Drosophila melanogaster: one gene and its partners. The protein of the gene in region 1 interacts with the protein of each later gene in a pairwise test. Each region holds a gene or a part of one and is shown in the gene's direction. Other genes may lie near its edges.

Region 1 (4,345 bases):
AGTCGCTTATTATTAACAGTTGTGATATTTGAGAGCAGTTAGAGCCGATAAGGAGCGGCCGAAACGGATGCGAAACGAAAAGGAACGGAACGGAACGAAACGGAACGGAAACGACACACACACACACACACACACACACACACACACACATAAAACATGTTCACGTATGTGAATCGAACAAATAAAAAACGAATTAGGCATTATGATTTGAATTTTTTTTTGATTTGAAGCATGTTTTTGGGCATTCATGTTAAAGTGCTACTACAGTGCCACCGAAACGTATGCAACACATTCTTAAGACTAATGCCACACACTAAGCCAAATTTACAATGCGCACTATGGGGCATTTGGCCTGTTTTTTTTACAAAAATTAATACCTCGTAAACTATTGGAGATATTTGGATGAATTTTTTTTTATGCGTTACACATGCCTCCAGGAATATTTTGGAAAAGTGGGCGTGCCCCAACGCCGCCCCAATTTTTTTTTTTTTTTTTTAATAATATATTTTTAAAGTTTATTTTAAATTTCAATATTGTATAATTCATAACCGTCTTCCTCTTCACAATCAGCAGAGTCTGAAGAATTTTTATAAGGTTCAAATTCGCAAGCTAACATTTGAATGACTTCTGGTGGAAGAGATAGTCGCTTATGTTTTCGCCTCTTTAAATTTAGTATCCATTGCTCTGTAAAAGACATATGCGAAGCTACTAATGGTTTCTGCCTTGGCTGGGTTTAACAAAAGAGTTTTAAGTATGGTTGCAAGATCCCACAGGCCGCGCTTCCGTGCAGCTTGAACCAAAAGATGTTCGTTGTGATTCGGCGCCCTTACGAGTTCATCTGCTTGCTGTCTTCGGCCACTCAAATTTTTTAAATAATATGACGTTTTCGGGAGTCCAGCTAATATTCTTTCCTTTTTATTTTTCTCCTTTACCTTCAGGACTAGGTGTTCTTCTAACCAATTTGAAAAAAATTTTAAAAATTCATTTATTTTTCGATTGCATTTTCTCCAATTTCGCAAAAGATTGACTGAAATCATTCGTTATTATTATTATTAGTTAATCGTTCATTTAAGTCTAGCTTGCTATCAGATAAATGCCCACTAATAAAAGTGCAAATAGAATTTTCCTTCCACTTCCAGCAGGGCAGCATTGGAAATCGAGATATTGCTCCCTAAAAAATGAAATTTCTCAAAAAACCGCAAAAAACGCACATAGAGACTACCTGATATGAGTTAGGAATTGAACACACTACAACATGGATATAAACACTTACTGAAAAAATTGTTGTAGCTCTATTCAAATTTGAAAATTTTTTCAAACAACTGCATGTTGACACCACTTGCTAAATGTACAAATTGTTAGAAATAGGCGCACACAATAAACAATATATTAATAACAACACATAATAAGAACCTAAAGATTGATTATCCATTTCAAATTATACTCTCCTTCTTCTTCTTTTTAAATTTTAACACTTTGAAAGTTAAGCTAAATTTTGCTCGCAACAGCCGACTTTAACAGCTGTTATTATAACAGAGCATTGTTAAATTAACTTATGCGGGCTATATCATAACACAGTTTAACGTATTTCCAATGTATTAATACTAAAATACTTCAAATTTGCATACTTGTGAAAAACACATTATTGTAAAAAAAAAACAGGCCAAATGCCCCATAGTGGCAATGCATGAACAATACGTGTGCTGTCACTGTATGCGTAGAAATGAGCCAAAAAGTACCAGAAATGGTACCAAAAAGTAAAATTTGCAATCTTTGGACACTTTACTATCAGAGAATATATATATTTATTTTTGTCAAATTTTCGTATATATTTCGAAACATTTTTCATCCCAATCGAATTGCCTTTGCCACTTAATTCACACACTCATTCGTCACAGTCAACTCAGCTTGTGTACAGCTTTTATTGTTGCTCCAAAATTCGTTGTCCTTGCTCGTTAACTGCATTCTTTGGACTATCTTTCAATTCCGTTTCGGTGGTATTGTTTTTAGCTTCAATGGATTCAAATCAGGAGATATACTTTCAGCCGCGTTGTATGTCAGGTACAAATAGATCAGTAGTAGAAAAATTCTTGTCTTTGATATTCATAATTTAGATCATATGGAGATGCGTGGCAGCGGCGGATCGAATCCCTTATCGCAACACTCCGAGCTGTCGAATGCTGATGGAGAGCGCATCTGTTGGATATGCTTCGCAACTAGCGAAGATAATCCACATGCCCATTGGGTGCAGCCGTGCCAGTGCCGCGGTGACACTAAATGGGTCCACCAGAGTTGTCTATATCGCTGGATCGACGAGAAGCAGCTGGGTGATCGCCGGCAAACGGTGATTTGCCAACAATGCCAAACTGAGTATATAATGGTCTTTCCCCAAATGAATCCCATTGCCAGGGTGCTAGAGAAGCTGGATTATGCAGTTAGGCGAATTTGCCCATTTTTGGTGCTCGGAATGTTCTTATGCTGTATATACTGGATTGCCCTTACATACGGAGCATTCACTATCATCCAGGTGGTGGGTCAAGATCGCGCAATGCAGTTGATGGAGAATAAAGTCATCCTGCTAGTGGGTTTACCCTTCATACCGGTGGGATTGATCCTATTCCGGCTGGTGCGATGGAAAGATGCCGTCTTGAAGGCCATGCGCAGCATATATATATACATTCCGCGCAAATTGCCCTTTTTCCACAGGACCAATCAGTCGGAAGGTGCATCGAGGGACTTGGGTGACTTGGGTGACTTGGATGACTTGAGCGTCAGTTCGAGCAGTTCGATCAGTTTGCCACCAATCCAACATAATCCGTCCATCACCGAACCCTTCTACATCTCTCGTCTCATTTGCGGAGCATTTTTTCTACCAACTTTTGCCACAACGGTGGGAAATGTGTTCTTCGGTAGGCTGGACGATGCACTGCAGCGCACCATACTCGGTGGTATTGCCTATATCGGAATTAAGGGATTGCTGAAAATGTATCTCGACCAGAAGTTATATCTCCGTCGCTTAGGTCGTTGCATTTTGAACTACACCGATGAAAACGTACGGATGATTGATCAGCATACCCAGGACAATAGCAATTACAATCCGAATCAAGGATCGAATGACGATGATCGCCAGTTTGCCGGATTTAATGAGAGCATAGATGATAGCTTTAGCGTGCACACCACGGACTCTGCGGTTGGTGACGCGTCCAGCATTCAGATCGTAGTCCAATGAGCTATTATGATAAACCTTTTGGCCAGGAAGTTAGATCCATAAGTTTTAACGACTTTGGCAACGAGCATGGCTAATCACTTTTTTTGGCAATAAAATAGTGTATACATTTAAAACTTTTAGAAAACTGCAACTTGGAGATATACAATACATAGATGACGCATCATCTATTAAACAGTATATTGTTATATCTTTTAATTTAAATACATTGAATTCAAATTTTTGCAAACTGTAAGCACTATAAAATTGAATTTTATTATTTAATTGCGATATTTCCAATTGTCAAGATCCAAATGCGTCCTATAGAATGGCGCCATGGGACAGGTTCGTTTGTATGATGGACAAAAGTTGGCGTCTATGCAGCAGCGGTAAGTGTTAGTGATCTTATTGGGCACAGCCTTCAGGCTCTCCATAAAGATATCCGAATTGGTGTGCAGACGGTGGAGGAATCTCTTAAAGCTTTCAAATGTCAACTCTCGATATCGTGCACATTTCTTATCATGATGATGCGGAACTCCCTCGCAGAACACCCAAGACCGTTCCGTGATCCTTTTGTGCTCGAAGTCCCTTAACATGCGACGAACCAGTCTCGACCTTCGATATTCCGGCTGTCCAATGGCAATGATCGCCTGACACAAAAGTGTACCCTCCCAAATCAAGGAGCAAATCTGTAAGACAATTAATAATCCAGATTTATAGAAGAAAATGCAACTTTCAAATATCAATCGAATTGTTTCGTCTTCCCAAAACCAATCAACCGCTCATTACCTCCGGTAATTGGCCAATTTCGCCGATGCGATCGTTTTCGGGCATATTACAAATGGATCGACGCAACCAGGGTGACAGGAGTCCAAAACGTACTTTTTGCATCACCTTGACCGCGTGCTTCTTGCGTTCCGTCCAGGAGTAATTCAACCAGTGAAAGACGGCGAAGAAAATCTCATCCTCACTATTAACACACAGCATGTCTTGTTCCAGCAAAGTGGTCACTTCATTCACATCGAATTCGAGAAACTCCCAAGATGCCACAATTGGTAGAAAGCATTTTCGCAAACGCGATTGCATTACAATCATAATCTCCGGGCAGCGATAATCCTTGGCCATGATGTAGGCTTGAAA
Region 2 (5,684 bases), on another chromosome or scaffold:
TGTTGGCCTCATAAATATTTAGCGAAATGAGATTGAAAACGAAAATAGGAGCTGCGACAATTGATTTCGGTGCACAGTGATTGATTGTCTGTGGCTGTAATGGGAATTCTTCTTGACGACACCATAAATGTCGTTCGTTGTGTCGCAGTCACACCTCCGCATCACTGGCTCCCCAGACTGAGGCAGGATATGGAGGAGCTACAGCGAGGAGCCCCCTATGGGTTGCAAAAGCAAAAAGCGGTGGCTCCGAGCCATGTACATGACGTATGAAAGTCGTAACAAAACACTTTGATTGATGATTGAAATGGCCCGGCTCCTAATTGGCGATGGTTGCGTGAGAAGCTCGAATGTTATGGCTTGAAGGAAGTTATAGAAAAATATAGAACTAATAATATATCACATAATTTCAAGTTAATAATACTTCTGATACGTTGCCATGTTTCTCCTTCTAAGTGCTCCACATTAAACCGATGAAATCCTTGCCGAGTCACGAAACCATCACCAGGCGGACCTCAAATCGCTGTCCTCGACCGCAAGTCCACACGGATATAACCAGAATGAAGCTCTGGGCCCACCGCCCGCGCCCCCGCAAGCACGCACAGGTGCGCATAAGTTCATGATTCCATAATGTCTGTGACATGTGGCCATCAACTGGCCCTCACTTCTTTGGCCACCCACTTACCAGCCGCTCACATTCCACCCACACCCACTCTGCCAGTGGATGTGCGGTCAGGCAGTTACAAGGTCTGAGTTTGAGTTGATCCATTGTCCTCGCCCTCGTCCTGTTGGCGACGGTGATGGTGATGGTGACGGTGAATGGATGGTGGTGTGGCCGACTGTTGACGGTGTTGCCGCTGTTGGTGGATTGTCTTTGAAATGTTTCGGCGGTCGCGGGTTCGTTGCTCTGCGGCTGGTTTTTGGTTTTCGATACACGCAGGCATCAGCAAGCAGAGCTGGGCTTTAACGGTCCATTTACATCCAGTTAAAGCATAAAATTAATAGCACTTTTAACAAAAAAAAAATTGTGCATATAAACTTACGCTGTTTCCCTTAATTTGAATTAAATTAATTACCTAAATATATGTATATCGATATTTCGAAAGGTTTTCGATTGTTGTCTGTGTATTAACGCTAATGTTTAAACACTTCTACAAAATGTGAAGTCTAAACTAGCATTTATTTAAAAAATCTTGATTTTTTAGTTTCAGAGAACTTCCCGCTAAATTAAGTAAATTTTACATGAGTAAATTCTATTATCTTTATGATAATATCATGAAGAGCAAGCCCAAGTTTTTACGATCTTAATAATTGTTTACCTATCGAATGCCGATCAAAGCAAGCCCGCCCGTGCGAACAGGGTATTAGCAAAGACACTGGAATTATTATAGTGTATTTGGTATTAGCGACGTTCAATACCTAGAATAATATCGAAATAAATGCAAGCCGACTTTTGTTCGATATTTACCATCCGAATCGTTTAGAAAAAACGTTGATATTTTCCAATAAAAAATGAATATATAGACGGACCCCTGACTTAAACATTTATTTGTTCGTATTGTTCTATTATGCTAGGGTTTTTTATGGTGACACAAGTGGCTGAAAATAAATAATAAATAAATAAATAAATAATAAATAAATAAAAAATAAATAAATAATAATAAATAAATAATAAATAAATAAATAAATAAATATAGAATCACCTTTTTACCTCGCAATAGTGTTAGCGCATCCTAACCAGATGCAAGTGTAAACGGCGCATCAGACCAATTTATTTCGGAAGATCAGTGTGAATGCTTCTTTGCTTGGAATTATAATTGGTAGTACCGTTTTCTTCTGGCGCGCATTTGACAATTTCCATTTCAGAATCAGTGATTGCAAAAACTAAACTCAAATAGCATGTCGTCTAAGAGAGGGGCTGATCCAGACTGGAAAACACCTGGCAAGGCTTCCAAGGACAAGCGGCCGAAAACCAATGCCAAGAAGCAGAAGTTTCGCGACGAAGAATACTGCAAAGTTTGTAGTGATGGAGGAGATCTGCTGTGCTGCGATTCCTGCCCTTCCGTTTACCACAGAACCTGTCTGAGTCCTCCCTTGAAATCGATTCCCAAAGGCGATTGGATCTGCCCGCGCTGCATTCCCTTGCCCGGAAAAGCCGAGAAGATATTGTCATGGCGCTGGGCCCTCGATCGAAGCGTGGAGCTTCGTACATCTAAAGGTGAAAAGCGGCGCGAGTACTTTATCAAGTGGCATGGCATGTCCTACTGGCACTGCGAATGGATTCCCGAAGGTCAAATGCTCTTGCACCATGCCTCAATGGTTGCCAGCTTCCAGAGAAGGAGCGACATGGAAGAGCCAAGTCTCGAGGAGCTCGATGATCAGGACGGCAATCTGCACGAGCGATTCTACAGATACGGCATTAAGCCGGAGTGGCTCCTTGTCCAGCGGGTTATCAATCATAGTGAGGAGCCCAATGGAGGGACTATGTACTTGGTGAAATGGCGTGAGTTGTCTTATAACGATAGCAGCTGGGAAAGAGAAAGCGACAGTATCCCGGGTCTAAACCAGGCTATCGCTCTCTACAAGAAACTACGGTCCAGTAATAAGGGACGTCAAAGAGATAGACCTGCACCCACAATAGACCTGAATAAGAAGTACGAGGATCAGCCAGTATTCTTGAAGGAGGCTGGCCTTAAATTGCATCCCTTTCAGATAGAGGGCGTCAGTTGGCTTCGCTATAGTTGGGGCCAAGGCATCCCCACCATACTGGCTGACGAGATGGGTCTGGGCAAGACCATTCAGACCGTGGTTTTTCTTTACTCACTATTTAAGGAGGGACATTGCCGCGGACCCTTCCTCATATCCGTGCCGCTTTCCACACTGACCAATTGGGAGCGAGAGCTGGAGCTCTGGGCTCCAGAACTATACTGTGTCACCTATGTGGGCGGCAAGACTGCTAGAGCGGTTATCCGGAAACATGAGATAAGCTTCGAGGAGGTAACCACCAAAACCATGCGCGAAAACCAAACCCAGTATAAGTTTAACGTAATGCTGACCAGCTACGAGTTTATCTCTGTGGACGCAGCCTTTCTCGGGTGCATCGATTGGGCGGCGCTGGTCGTGGACGAGGCCCATCGGCTAAGGAGCAACCAGAGCAAGTTTTTTAGGATCCTGAGCAAGTACCGCATCGGCTACAAGCTGCTGCTGACCGGCACTCCGCTTCAGAACAATCTCGAGGAGCTGTTCCATCTGCTCAATTTCCTGAGCTCTGGAAAGTTTAACGACCTGCAGACCTTCCAGGCCGAGTTCACTGACGTTTCGAAGGAAGAGCAAGTGAAGCGACTGCACGAGATCTTGGAACCGCATATGCTCCGTCGCCTTAAGGCGGATGTATTGAAGAGCATGCCCCCAAAGTCGGAGTTCATTGTGCGCGTGGAGCTGTCGTCTATGCAAAAAAAATTCTACAAGCATATTTTGACCAAAAACTTCAAGGCCTTAAATCAGAAAGGCGGCGGTCGCGTGTGTTCGCTGCTCAACATCATGATGGACCTGAGAAAGTGCTGCAATCATCCGTACCTGTTCCCCTCCGCCGCCGAGGAGGCCACTATCTCGCCAAGTGGTCTTTACGAGATGAGTTCGCTGACCAAAGCTTCCGGCAAGCTAGATTTACTGTCAAAGATGCTAAAACAGCTAAAGGCGGACAATCACAGGGTCCTTTTATTCTCCCAGATGACCAAGATGCTGAATGTTCTCGAACACTTCCTCGAAGGGGAGGGATACCAGTACGATCGCATCGACGGGTCGATCAAAGGCGATTTACGTCAGAAGGCCATTGACAGATTCAATGATCCCGTATCGGAGCACTTTGTCTTCCTGCTGAGCACTCGTGCAGGCGGACTGGGTATCAATTTGGCAACAGCCGACACCGTCATTATTTTCGACTCGGACTGGAATCCGCACAACGACGTTCAGGCCTTTTCCCGAGCCCATCGCATGGGGCAGAAAAAGAAGGTAATGATCTACCGATTTGTGACCCACAACTCGGTGGAGGAGCGCATTATGCAGGTTGCCAAGCACAAGATGATGCTCACCCATCTTGTGGTGCGCCCGGGAATGGGTGGCATGACAACAAATTTCTCAAAGGACGAGCTCGAAGACATCCTTCGCTTTGGCACCGAGGATCTTTTTAAGGACGGCAAGAGTGAGGCTATTCACTACGACGACAAAGCGGTGGCCGATCTGCTTGACCGCACCAATCGCGGCATTGAAGAGAAGGAGTCTTGGGCCAACGAGTATCTTTCGTCCTTTAAGGTCGCTTCTTATGCCACTAAGGAAGATCACGAGGAGCATGATGACTACAATAACGATGCTGAAAACACTGACCCATTCTACTGGGAAAACCTGATGGGAAAAAGTCAGCCGAAGCTACCAAAGAAGCAAAAGAAGCAGTCGCAGCAGTCCCAGGTGGACGTCGAGAGCATCATGGGAAAGGGCAAGCGAATCCGAAAGGAAATCGACTACTCCAATCAATATCCCTCTCCAAATCGAGCCACCCCAAGCAGTATAGTATTAATGTGAGATAAGGAATAACCGCCATTGGGTACAAATCAACAAATGAATTTGAAACAGAAACCAAATTGTTAATTTATAAGTTTACTTTTCAAGCTTGCCTAAGCGCAGCTATCTTTAATATATAGTTATTTTGCTCCAAGACTTCACTAAAAATATAAGAAAAGTAATAGCAGTACTATTACTTTTTTGTTCGACTGTAACAATTTTTCGCCCAGTAAATATTCTATCATTAACATTCTTAGTAATTTAAGTGTTTAATTATGTTTGTCAAATTATTTAATTTAAAACAGAGAAACAAATAAAGATGAGTTCGATGGAAAAGGAAAGAAAATAGACAAATGACAAAACGAAGAGCAGTGTCAAAACGATTTCGGCCAGGAACTCCACGCAAAATGTCTGGTAAAATAATTAAATGTAATTCAATCAAAGGCAGTTTATGCGTAAAATTTTATTAAAGCCCAGCTTTCGCAGGATGAAGCAGAAAAGTCTCAATGCCAGACAAACACAACACACATATAGTAATATACACTGGGAGAAAAAAAATGCTGAAAAATCGTAAATACAGTCTTCTAAAAGGATTCGTTTTGTCATTAGGTCTTTCTGCAAAATAATATTTTTGAAATGAAGATAATTAAATTGCACATGAGCTGCTGTTGCATCTTGATTGCACTTATCCTGGGTGTACCCATAAATGCATGCATGAGCAAGGACATCCTCGTATGCACATAAGTATGCGTTCGCAATCAATTTATCATACGCCTGATTTGACTGCCAGAGCCCTGAAACCGGCCATCAAATGGCCCCGAGAATTGTGAAATGTAACTGCAATGTAATTAAAATGAAATAAAGACAGAAAACAGAGTGCCAGAGTGCAGGTGAAAGGTCCTGGGGATCCCCAAAGTGTCTGGCCTGGCGATTACTTAGATGCGTCCGGTGACCAGCTCATGGATTAAATCCGGCATATTTAATTATCACATACAATGGGAAAATGGCCAAGTCGTTTTCGAGATGACTTCACTTTAATTACGTTTTCTTAATCATATTTTTTGCACTTGACTTGTCTCTGAAATTGTTGCAGTTCTTTGTTAGTTTAGGGTAGATACGAGTAAATATTT
Region 3 (4,657 bases), about 14 Mb from region 1:
AGTATTGTAGTTATTCGCCGTATGCTCTTGCTTTTCAAACAATACTTACTTAGAACGTTTACCTTATGCATTATTAAAACATGCATTTTGTCAGGTTAGACGAATATTTTCAAAGCTGGAACGAATTTTCCAATCTCGAACGAATTTCGAGTTATTAAGACTGCATTTCCATTTTATTGACTTAAAGCTATTCATATTGCCTTCCCAAAAGATATCCAAATGGGGAACGGTCGAATATTTAAGAAAATGAATTTATAAAAGGCAAGGCACGCTATATTATATCCGCATATAATACTAAGACAGTGCGTACATTTGGCAAGAACTTAAGAAATACTGTACGTTGAAAATATCTCCCTACATGGCATCCATGCAAAATGTTATACGAAAGCGAAGCAATCGAATGCTCGATCAAATATAAGACTTTATTATAGTATACTATTTAGTCTAAAAGGGATTAAAACTACCAAAAAAAAATTGCTGATAATTAATTATAATATACATACATATAACAATAATATTTATTATGCTAAACGGAAATCTCAACTTAAGGGAATTTATATGAAATAAAAAAAAAATTTCGAATGCATAAGATACGTAAATGCAGCTAAAAGTATTGGAGAATGTATTCCGGAAATACGGCTAGTGATCTCCGGAACGCAAGCCACCAAAGCCCGTTTAAAAGGAACTAAAACTCATTCACATGTAGCCCCACCCCAAATCCCTGCTGCCTTCGTCTTCGATTGGAATCCGATCTCCGCATCCCAGCCTCATATGTAGTCCAGCATGCCGCTTATGATCTCAAAGGCATCCCGAGCCGTGGGCTCAATGGCGCTGCTGGGCAGCAGATAACCGTGCACTCCGTTGTCCGCCAGCTGGAGCGTGTAGCTGAAGGGAATTCCGATCTCGTAGGCGGCAAAAGCGTCCGCACAGCCTGGATAAATCAAGGAAGCCAAAGGATTGGCAAGGTCGGATAAAGATCTCTATTATATTCTACTTCGAAGCAAATAATATAAATATTACGCACCCGATCGCTGTTCAATTAGATCGTTGGATGCGTCGACCTTATATCGGGACTTACTACCCTTTTTGCGCAATCCATCGGTACCCACCATCGCCACGTCCAGAAAATCATCCAATCTTTCTGAATTGAAAGTGGAATTGGCCTTGACCGGATAGGATATCACCTGACCATAGGCCTGTAGGGAAATGTAAAGCTGCAAAAATAATGAATAAAGTTAATAAATCAAAAAATATATCTATTTTAGAGAGTTAATATAAAAATTATATATTGTTCTAAGCATACCTTTATCTGCGTCCTATAGTCCATAAGGAACTCAGATACTGCCTTGGTTTCCGGTTCAGAAAATGGCGCTGGACCGGCGTAGAACTCATTGCAGGGTGCCTTGGAGCTACCCCGTTTGCCCCAATGATACAGCCAGTTTCTGTCCAGGTCCACCCCGTAGCAGACCTTATCCGGACCCCGTTTTTGCTGGAGCCATGTCATCGCCGAGTCGAGGAGGCCACTGGGAGGTGGAGTCTGGTGCTGAGATCGCGACTTCTTCCAGAAACGATCGTACTCGTGGCTGTACGCATATCCGTCCGGATTCAGGACCGGCATTATGTACCATGTGGTGTTCCGGATGAACTCCACGTCCTCGTTGCTTTCTGTTGAGTAAACGTTTTATGGGTTATTTTTATACATAACTTTACATAATGCATATGAAATAAATGTTAATAAATATTAATTCTCTTAAGAAAATAAATACGTTGTTCAACCGATCAACGTAGCCGCTTTTCCCCAACTCAAATTACATTAGTTATCCCTTTGTCAGTCCGTTAGTCAGTATATTTGTAGACCCAGAAATCGATAGTGTATACTTTAGACCTTTACAGCTTGCCACTTCTCCTCCAGTTGGACCAAGATCAGAATGGAGAGGCGAAGACCCCGAAAGTCCTCGCGTAAATACGTGTGCTCCAAATCAAACTCTTCAGTTGGAGGAGGAGTAGAGGAAGACAGTGGCTCATCATTGCCTGCCACCGCCAAAGCGTTACTCCTCCAGCCGGACGGTAATAAAGCACCAACCATGACATCCCTTCTGGGCGAACGACTCAGAAGAGTTTCTCGCATCGCAAGAGCTCCGCACAGCCTACAAGTTACCGAAAATCCAGAAGAAGGTGGAGCACCAATCGTACCACTAAGAGAATCCGGCGCATCGGAAGTGTCAGAAGTAAATCCGGGGGTTATGGTCATTCCGGAGTCGGCCAGTCCCCGGGGATCGGCGGTGCATGGACAACACGCTAGCTTGGTCTTCAGTGCTGAAGCCAGGGATTCGGACAGTACGCGGATATCGGAGGAAATGGTGGAAGTGTTCCAAACCTCTTCGGCGAGAACCACATCCAATGAGCCCGCAGGGGGCAATCTGCGCTTTGAAACCACTCCCGTGGCTGTAAGCGAAAGTATGGTTGGCAATATAAACTTCTCCCCGAACGCCATCTACGATCAGAACAGGTATAGCAGCATGATGTCCAACGGGGATTACAATAATGGCAACAGGGGTGAGAGTGAGAGGAGCGTGGGAGCCTGCCACCATGGTTGGGCGGCGCGACAACAACAAGTTGCCGCTGGACCTGCCGGCAGAGACACCCTGGGATTCGCCATCAGTCTGGGCGCCGCTAATTTGGGCCAGAACCGATGCAGTCTGGGCGTTGCATGCGATGAGGACTGTGGCTATGGAACTGGCTGTGATTTTGGATGCGGTCAGGCCCATGGCGTTGATCCCGGAAGCTTTCTAGGTCCGGGAACCATGGGAACTGGTCCATTAATATTGACAACGGGATCAGGAGGCCCACCTGTACAGAGCGCCCTACGAGGAGCTCAAGGTGGCGGCTATAAGCAAGTTGGCGCCGGGCAGCGGGGAACTTTTGGAACAGATTTCGGAAGTGAGCAGCTTAACTTCTTCATTACCTTCCTATTGGAGGTCCTCGGTGTTTTAGTGTGAGTATATATTTATATATTCCAGGATTGGATCATTCCAACTCTATGATAATCTACGTAATCTTCCATTAGTTTTTTTGCCATCTGCACGATAACATTTTGGATTACTCTGGGCTACCATGTTGTCCAGTTGCTGGTGGACCTGAAGAACGCCGATCGCAACATTCAGGTGGCGGTGGCCATTGTGTTCGGGCTGCTGCTCGTTGCGTTTGCCATATCGCAGGTGACCAACCTCAGTGGTTCCTGCTGTCATTCACGGGATCGAGCCCGTTCCAGAACCAAAGGTGGTGGCATTGGCTTCTTTCACAGATCCACCAAGCCAAAGACCAAGAGCTGTGCATCCAAAACCAAGACCTGTGCTCATAAGCCGAAGATTAAGAAGGCAGCCACTTGTGGACCCAGCCTGGGCTTTCACACGCACCGCAAAACGAGGTATACGGATTGCGAGGGACGGGCAATTTTCTTGAGCTCGAGACGATATGCTATTCCGACTGAGATGAAACAACCACCCACCATTGTGCTCTGGATGCGCGACACACTGGTTCGCATGTTGCAGTAACCACCAACGAAGCCCCACGTTGGGCGCCAATAATACTTAAACTGACTTAAGACTGCGAAACTATACGTATTGCCTGGAAACACGAACCATTCGATCATTTGCAAAAATTTCAATTTGAATAAACTTTAAGAGAAAACTTTTGTAGGTATTACTAAATTGTTACTTATGATCTGGGCCAGTATTATTAATATCGTGAAATAGATGTTTAAGAATACGAACATACTAGTTCGGTAATAGTATATGTGTATATACTCACTGTTTGTTTTCATTAGTCGCAGCAGTTCGGCAATCATCCAGGTGGCCGCCGCGGGTCCAATCCAGGCCAATCCCTGAGCACCAGCTTCGACGAAAACGGCATTTGCCTGGCCCGACTTCCGCTTCCGCTTGGGTCGCTTGATGGTGTGTAGACCATCGTTGTTCGCCGCCGCCGCCGTCTGTTTGGATTCGATCTTTACCACAATTAAGGGTCGACCTTCGAAGGAACGACCAATGTGGATGAGCTCAACGAGCTGCGGATGACGCATTCGCACCGTCTCCAGATACTTGACGATCTCATCGTGATTATGGTAACGATTCCATGTCATGGGCGGTGGTGCCGTGGGACGCGGCTTCGAGGGACGAGTGGTTTGTAGGTAATCCTCTTTGGTCAGTTCGTATGCGATGGCCTTGCCCACATCGAAAATGAGCACTTCGTGCGCTATGCCCTCGTAGTTTAGAGTGCCCTGAAAGTCCACGAGCATCTTGGGTGGCACAAGAACATCCGTAAGACCTCTGAAACGATGAGGTGAGTGAGAAGATTTGGTTTAAAATGTATTGTAATAATCCCCAAATTGATTGTCATCATACATTTTTGAGCTTTAAGTCTAGCTTACCTGAGACTTGGACCCTTGAGCCATTGCAACTTAACGCCGTCCTCGCCCTTTTTGAACTCCTCCAGTGCACGGACCTGCTCTTCATCCTGCGGCTTTAGACGCCAAATCTGATACTTGTCATAGCTTATGCGCCTGGGAACGTCCGGCCGCGATGTGGTGGTTGTGGTGCTAGTGGTTCCCCTGGTGGTCATTCGAGTGGCCAAGGCCTGGAGGAGCGGATTACTTGTGCTC

What was found.
Region 2: the proteins of CG16781 (region 1) and Chd3 interact in a two-hybrid assay, tested with the Drosophila melanogaster proteins (one large-scale study listed by BioGRID).
Region 3: the proteins of CG16781 (region 1) and CG4955 interact in a two-hybrid assay, tested with the Drosophila melanogaster proteins (one large-scale study listed by BioGRID).

What each region holds. Positions count from the first base shown.
Region 1 is NC_004354.4:3,461,597-3,465,941, reverse strand, and holds CG16781 (uncharacterized protein), read left to right. Parts: upstream 1-1,897; 5' UTR 1,898-2,015; coding exon 2,016-2,061; intron 2,062-2,114; coding exon 2,115-3,229; 3' UTR 3,230-3,468; downstream 3,469-4,345. Other genes in the region: CG10801 (uncharacterized protein), read right to left, coding at 3,487-3,894, 3,995-4,345.
Region 2 is NT_037436.4:19,445,353-19,451,036, forward strand, and holds Chd3 (Chd3), read left to right. Parts: upstream 1-1,820; 5' UTR 1,821-1,896; coding exon 1,897-4,575; 3' UTR 4,576-4,886; downstream 4,887-5,684. Other genes in the region: CG33062 (uncharacterized protein), read right to left, coding at 683-766. UniProt on the Drosophila melanogaster protein: ATP-dependent chromatin-remodeling factor which acts in nucleosome-remodeling by catalyzing ATP-dependent nucleosome mobilization. Likely to be involved in the regulation of transcription.
Region 3 is NC_004354.4:17,079,656-17,084,312, forward strand, and holds CG4955 (uncharacterized protein), read left to right. Parts: upstream 1-1,791; 5' UTR 1,792-1,928; coding exon 1,929-2,995; intron 2,996-3,067; coding exon 3,068-3,554; 3' UTR 3,555-3,701; downstream 3,702-4,657. Other genes in the region: CG8945 (uncharacterized protein), read right to left, coding at 768-931, 1,025-1,214, 1,304-1,665, 3,811-4,325, 4,427-4,657.